Linked DNA regions of Macaca mulatta. The protein of the gene in region 1 purifies or fractionates together with the protein of each later gene. This does not show direct contact. Links are inferred from orthologs where the notes say so. Each region holds a gene or a part of one and is shown on either strand. Other genes may lie near its edges.

What was found.
Region 2: the proteins of H1-2 (region 1) and WDR5 purify together in Homo sapiens (affinity purification with mass spectrometry; 3 studies listed by BioGRID, with this or other methods). This does not show direct contact. The link is inferred for Macaca mulatta from reciprocal best matches to the Homo sapiens genes H1-2 and WDR5.

Annotation. Positions count from the first base shown.
Region 1 is NC_133409.1:157,052,062-157,055,492, reverse strand, and holds H1-2 (histone H1.2), read right to left. Parts: upstream 2,262-3,431; 5' UTR 2,220-2,261; coding exon 1,578-2,219; 3' UTR 546-1,577; downstream 1-545. UniProt on the Homo sapiens protein: Histone H1 protein binds to linker DNA between nucleosomes forming the macromolecular structure known as the chromatin fiber. Histones H1 are necessary for the condensation of nucleosome chains into higher-order structured fibers.
Region 2 is NC_133420.1:8,377,321-8,381,370, forward strand, and holds the start of WDR5 (WD repeat-containing protein 5), read right to left. Parts: upstream 2,823-4,050; 5' UTR 2,776-2,822; coding exon 2,687-2,775; exon of another isoform or gene 2,559-2,686; coding exon 2,395-2,558; intron 2,155-2,394; exon of another isoform or gene 2,036-2,154; intron 1,981-2,035; exon of another isoform or gene 1,286-1,980; intron 1-1,285.

The sequences.
Region 1 (3,431 bases):
AATGACTAAAGGAATAAAACCGAAACCTGAGACAGTCCAACTGTCCATGAAATTTTAGCCTATTAGCCTATGACAAAAATAGCCAAAATTGATAGGAGTGTGGAGGGTGACACGGAAGGAAGAAGGGGGAAGCAGAAATGAAAGTTCATAAATGGTCTTGGGAGAAAATATGTCCATATATTAAACCTTACACCAAAATAGAGTTCACCATGTAAACCGTGTTGTAATGTAAAATTAACAACACAAAATTACTTAACCCATGGGAGAATGCTTTTTCCTTCTTCCCTGCCTCTGCCTCCCTGTCTCTCTGCTTGCCTCCCTCCCCTTTCTCCCTTTCTTGGGATGAATCCGTGGTCACTATCACTAACAGAGAAATTAACTCACTACATTCATCATTGTGGAGATGGTAGAATAACTGAGCAGCTTATCTCCAGAAGTCCCGGTCCACATAATTTAGGTCTCACCGAAATGTGCCTATCAGATTTTAAAAGAACCGAATATAAGACGCTAGGTTTTCTGTATTCAGAAGCACCATGGGTGTCAAATAGAGGGAACCATTAACGAAGGCCTTTATTAGAAATGTCTCTCATTTATCCATATACTTTAGTTAATAGTACAAATCGTTCTCCGCGTAGAAACACTTGGACTGCCAAACAAAATGTGTTTAAAAGAACTTCGATTTTTAAATGTTGATGTCTGCCTAAACTGAGGATAAGTAACCGTCAAGCGAGGACAAAATGGCTGGCTAAAAGTTGTGCTTTCGATACGCTCAAAATCGATACGCTCAAATCTGTCAGTTTAGCGGAACACTACATGCATGATATGAGAAACAAAAAGCTCCCTAGGTCCACGATTGCCTTGGGTGGAGGAAGGGCTATTGCCGCTGTTTATTCAAATGCATTCCTTTGTTACCACAGGAATGAGAAATTAACAGCAGAGGAATGTAGGACAAAGGTACCTGCACGCACTCTCCTCCCAGGGCTGGATGTTGCCACTACCTCCAGGAGATACCAACTTGACTACCTACAACATGGAAAGCGTCCGAAATCCCGAACGTTAATATCAAGAGGCAAAACTTTCAAGTCACAGAGAAGCAACACACACGGAATAAGCAACGTCTGCCACCATCCAATTAAATATAGAATTAAAGTCATGGACTAGAACGACGGACCAACCCAGGAGCAGGGCGGGACTTTTGAATTATTTTTTAGTCCAATCCGGATATCCCTTTAGACGAAGAAACTGGCTCTTGTTTTGCGATCTTTTCTGCCTTTCACAGGCCTGGGGCGTGGCTGACTGCCATCCCAAAAACATCCGCCAGCGGGAAACGCCTCGAAGCAGCAGTCAGGGACATGGAAGTCGCAGTAAAGGTTTAAGCGCCGTAACCTCACCACGGCCACTCTCGAACCCCCGTTACTTATTTGTCTTATAAGGTTCCCGTTCGACTAACCTTAAGGAGCAGGGTCGAGCAAGAAAAGGAACAAGGGCAACTAAGAAAAACAAGTATCCAGCTCTTTTATTGAGATCAGTGGTGGCTCTGAAAAGAGCCTTTTGGGTTTTTTGAAGCAGGCGTCCACCTATTTCTTCTTGGGTGCCGCCTTCTTAGGCTTGACAACCTTGGGCTTGGCGGCCTTGGGCTTCACGGACTTAGCAGCACTTTTGGCAGCTTTCTTGGGCTTCGCAACCTTGGCCTTCTTTGGGCTCTTGGCCACTTTCTTGGTCACAGTGGCCGCGGCCGGCTTCTTCGCCTTCTTCGGTGTTTTCTTAGCGCTCTTCTTCGGGGTAGCGCCGCCAGTCGCCTTCCTAGGCTTCTTAGCTGCCCCAACCGGCTTCTTAGGCTTGGCTGCGCCCACCTTCTTAACCTTGGGCTTGGTTTCGCCGGAGGCTGCCTTCTTGTTAAGTTTGAAGGAACCAGAAGCACCGGTGCCCTTAGTCTGCACCAGAGTGCCCTTGCTCACCAGACTCTTGAGACCAAGTTTGATTCGGCTGTTGTTTTTCTCCACATCATAGCCGGCGGCAGCCAACGCTTTTTTCAAAGCAGCAAGAGAAACCCCGCTGCGCTCTTTAGAGGCTGCCACCGCCTTGGTGATGAGCTCTGACACCGGGGGACCAGATGCCTTACGAGGCGGCCCCCCAGATTTCTTGGCTGTTTTCTTCTTTACGGGGACTTTCTCCGCCGGAGGCGCGGCAGCGGGAGCGACAGGAGCAGTCTCGGACATGTTGAGGATCAACAACTCGGGTACAAGTGGCAAAGCGCCGATGAAACAGCGCTTGGGCAGGGCCGCTGTATATATAGAGCGCAGGAGCGCTCTGATTGGTGCTCTGGTGGCCCGCCTGGCTGGCAGGCTCTGAGTCGCTGCGCTGCTCCCAAGTTGTGTTTGTTCCACCTCACAAAAGGGGAAAAATATTAAAATTCCCTGCACCAAATCACCCGGATTTGGTCAGGAAAGGATCTCAGAAGCCTCGGGCTTCAGGCTTTTCATTTATTTTTTCCACAACCACAAAAACAACGCGTCCAGGCGTCCCCAATTCCCCCAACTCCGAAGGAAGTCTGGGGCAGTCAGAGACCACTTTCTGTTTTTCTTATAAATTACCTGTTCGCTCCTTTGCCCCTGAAAGTTCTTTTTCCCAGGGGTGGTTGGGCACATGCTTCCCTTATTTTTGAAAAAAAAAGCGAAATGGTTTCCACCTAAATTTTCATGATAATTCTGTTTCTTCACAAGGGAAGTAACACAGGTCCTGTGTGAATTCTTCCTGCAGACGCACAGGAACTGTGGACTGGGACAAGGATTCCAGGGCCAGTCCAAAGTAATTAGGGAGGGATGGGAGGGGGTTCATGAGCCTTGGTAGGGTCCGGTGTGGTGGGGGGCTAGAGACTTAAATCTTTGATTTGAAGACATTGAAACCATCAAATCCTTCTTTTCATAGATGGGGGCGGGGCATCCTTTTCACTTCTCTACAGGCGAGAAATTGGGCTCTTTTTAAAAAGCTCTGAGGTCCCCCTCTGAGTTGTGTAAGGCAGGAGGTCTGGCTCTCAAGATAGAGATAATAAAGGAACAAGGGAGATCCCTTAAGCCTGCAAAGAAAGCCAATAGATTTGGCAGTTAGAGGCACTGAGATAATATGTTTTCAAAGAAAACAAGCATTTATTTATTTATTTATTTTTGTACATTGCAATATTAGAGATGAATTTCAGCCCATGAAAATTAGAGGTTACTTTCAATAACCACACCTTACACAAGTTACCGTACAGGACAATCTCCAGTTTGAAACTCAAATATATCTTTGAATTGCAAATAAAGCAACTGACTTTAATAAAACAAACTCTTGACTTTTAAGATGAACAATATATTTGAAATTTATTTTTTAAATAGCAAAAATTTACACAGAAAGATAGGAAAAGTACCAGAACATGTAATTTATTATAAGAT
Region 2 (4,050 bases), on another chromosome or scaffold:
GGGTAGACACCTGGAAACACCCTCACATGAGGAACAACAGGTAGGCGGTCTTACAAAAAAGGTGCCCAGCCCCTCCCAGCTCAAGCCCAACCTGCCCAACCCTTTGGGCTCAAAAACCATTAACATTTAAAAGAAACAAACAAAACAACCTTAACCTGACTTTTAAGAATACAGTGGCAGGGTGTGGTGACTGACGCCTGTAATCTCAGCACTTTGGGAGGCCAAGGCAGGAGGCGGGCAGATCCTGAGGCCAGGAGATAAAGACCAGCCTGGCCAACATGGAGAAACCCCGTCCCAACTAAAAATACAAAAATTAGCCGGTGTGGTGGCGGGTCCCTGTAATCCCAGCTACTTGGGAAGGCTGAGGCAGAAGAATCGCTTGAAATTGGAAGGCAGAGATAGCAGTGAACCAAGATTGCACCACTGCACTCCAGCCTGGGCCAAAGAGTGAAAAATTCCGTGGTGGTGGTGGTAGGGGGAGAGATGCAATTTCTTGACCCAACACACCTGCCAAGTTTCTACCTCAGTAGTGGCATCTAGGCTTGGCATTTTTTTTTTTTTTTTTTAAGACAGAGTCCAAAGAGTCCAGCGGAACGATATCGGCTCACTACAACCTCCACCTTCCGGGTTCAAGTAATTATTGTGCCTCAGCCTCCTGTGTAGCTGGAATTACAGGTGCGTACCACTACACCCTGCTACTTTTTTGTATTTTTAGTAGAGACAGGGTTTCGCCATGTTGCCCAGGCTGATCTCGAACTCCTGACCTCAGAAAATCCGCCCGCCTCAGCCTCCCAAAGTGCTAGGACTACAGGCGTGAGCCACCGCGCTGGGCCAAGGCTTGGCATTTTCATGACCAACCAGGTGTCTCTGTGGAACAATCATTTTGAGGGAACAGGAAGGTTGGAGACTTGATACTGAGGAAAGGGGGGGGACCGAGGTTACAGGCACGGTGATGAGGAGGTGACCTCTAGACCAGCTGCTGCCTGACTCCACCTAGCAGCCACTGCTTTTCATCCAGGTAAGCCTGACCACCTGAAGCCCAGCAACCAAATCTCAGTATGGCCTCCTGGACTGCATGCCACAGGCTGATGCCTGAGTCCCTCAGTCCCTGAGATCCAGCCCAGGAACCTGCCTGCGGCGTGCAGTCAGGAGAGCACACTGTGTGCAAAGACAAGAATTAATCTGCATCTTCAACACCAGCCAGGTGGCCAGCCCAACACAGGTGGGAACCCGGCTCTACCTCTCTGAGATCCTGGACAGGCTTCCGCCTGGGTCCTTCGCTTACCTGTCTTCCCCACCGGCTAGCACAGCACCTGCCCAGGTCACAGATTAAACTAGCATTTGAAGAGATGGGTAAACGGACCTGGGTGAGTGGAAACTTGCAAGCGAGACAGCAGGGAGTGTCGTTAGCGATAAATAACAGGCCGACCTCAGTTTGGTCCCGGAACGTAACCGCTCAAAATGGCTCTCGCAGATCGGCCAGGACAGGTCTGCGGCCCCGCGCGAGGAGGCACGGTGGGCCCCCCGTTTAGGACCGAGGACCCGCACCCCAGGACCCCACCTAGCGAACTGCAGCCTGGCTACCTCGGGTTGGGGTGAGCGGCGGGAGCGGGCTGGGGGCGTTTCTACGAGGAGGGGAAGCGCACCACGTCCAGGGACTGAGTGGCTTGGTGGGTCTGGGGTCCTTCCTTGAAGGGGCAGAGGAGGAAGAGGGGCGATGTGAGGCCGGTACGCCGCCTGCGGGAAAGAGGCCCCAGTGCCGGCGCTCTGGCCTTGTCAGTGGCCCGCCGGGGAAGCGGAGGTGGGGGCGCGAGTGGGGGCGGACGGGGTGGAGGGGCCTACGCGCGCAGCCGTCCACCGAGAGGCCAGGGCGGGGGTCCCGGGCGGGGCCGCTGCAGCTGGAGCAGCGCCCGGGGCTGGGCCTGGCCCGAGGCCCGGCGGGGAACACGTGCGGCGGCCGGGGGTGGTTTGGCGGCTCCTGGCGCCGCCCCGCTGCCCGCCTTGCGCTCCCCGGGCCGGGCGGCTACCCGCTTACCTGCCGGGCCGCGGCGGCGGGGCCGGGCGCTCGGGGCGTCGCGTCGGCCGCCGCCTGGGCGGGAGCGCGGACTCAGCTCGACGAGGCGGCAGCTCGGGCGGGCGCCAGGCGGCGGGGGCGCAGTGCGCGTGCGCGAGGGGAGGGGGGCGGTGTCCTGGGGGCGGGGCGAGCTCACAAAGCCGGCCTCTCGGAGGAGCGCTACGGGCAGCGGCAGCGGCCAGAATGCCTCGGGCCGGCCCAACGCTTTAAAGGGACAGCACGGGGCGCGTGCTTCCCGCTTAAAAGCTTTAATCCCCGAATTTGGCTGGTGCAGGCCCTCCTAATGTACTTCCTAAAAATTGAAGTATAATGATACATACAGGAAAGTGCTAGTGTGCCCTCGCGTTTCCACAGACAGCACGCCCTGCACAAAGACACAAGCGGCCTTCCGGGACCTGCGCAGATGGCGTCGCCCGGCGTTGTCCCCGGAGTCAAGTCGGACCGGGGCACCTCCCCGGGCGACCAGGCCCCTTCTTGATCATCGCTGGTACGGATGAGAGCAGCAGTGGGCATTTGGAAAACACCCGGGACCGCTCCCGGGCGCAGTGCCCCCATGTGGCCTCCCACCCCAGGCAGGTAGGACGACTCCTGCCCATTTGGAAGACCAGGAACCTGCGCGTTCGTTCACAGGGTTCGGAAGCCCGGGCTGCGCCTTCCCGCTGGGCCGGCTGCCGGGCTGCGGGCGCTTCCCGCCTCTGCATGCAGAGCCCGCGGTGCACGAACCTGCTCCCCGCCAGCCCCGCGGACTGGCAGAGCCGCGCTGGAGTCACTCCGCAGTGCGCAAACTCACTTCGCAGCGGGCTCTCTGGGGGCCAACCCTTCCCTCCTGGGCGGGCATTTTCTCCTCCAGGTACAACGGGGTGGTCCCCAGAGGAGGACTCAGGGTCTTAAGGAGAAGCTGAGGCCCGGTCCTCTGGCCTCGACGACTGCACATTCTCGCCTGCTTCACTTCGTAGAGCCTTGGAGGTAGGCACGGCCTCCCTATCCCCTCAGCTAGGCCTGTGGGTAGAATAACGCAGTCCCTTATTCTCCAATTAAAAATGGGAACACAGAATGTGACACAGGAACCCGTGCAAACAAAAGGACAGAGCGTTTGAAATAAAGATGCCAAGGAGGGTGAGGTGAGCGGTTGTCAGAGAGGTGGAACCGGAAGACTGGCAGTTGGTCTGGAGTCCCCTTCCCAGGAAGGACACAGAGAAGGCGAGGTCCCTGTCTGGTCCTTCAGGGCTCCAGGTGGATCTGTGTGCCCAAAAGGCTTGATCCCTTGGGCCAGGTGCCCTGGAGCATGGAGTAGTGACAGTCACAGGTTAGCAAACCCAGTTCGGAGAAAGAAGCTCATCTCTATCTCTGGCCGCCTGGGCCGGAATCCCGAGCCCCTGACAGGCTGCTCTCCCTTCCACCCCGCCTCAGCTCTCAGATCGTCCACTTCTCTCCCTCCTCACCCCAGCCCTACCTCCCACCCGGGTCTTTTTTAAACCTGCAGACAGAGAAACTCCTAAAAATCCAGCTCTGATCTGTCACTCCCCAGTTTAAAACTCAGAACCAGCTTCCCATTGTCCTCAATTCCCAAATTCCCACTGCCCAATTCGGGTAAAGTGCTTACCAGACCCCGCCTCCTTTTCCAAACTACCGCCGCCTCCCAAACTGCAGCCCGCGTTCCAGCCCCAAAACAAAAGTATTTCCAGTCCTTCAGCCCTCCAGGCGAAGCAAGATAAGGGGCTGGACCCCAGAACTATCAGAACTCAAACCAGGTTCCCAGCTTCCACTTCCAGGTGAATTGATCTCACCACCCCATCCCACCCCCAGGAGATAGAGCCTTCTAGTAAAAACGAGATAATCCCACCTGGCGCGGTGGCTCACGCCTGTAATCCCAGTACTTTGGGAGGCTGAGGGGAGTGGATCACCTGAGGTCGGGATCACCTGAGTCTGAGGCTGAGGCAGGTGGATCACCTGAGGGTGAGGCAGGAGAATCGCTT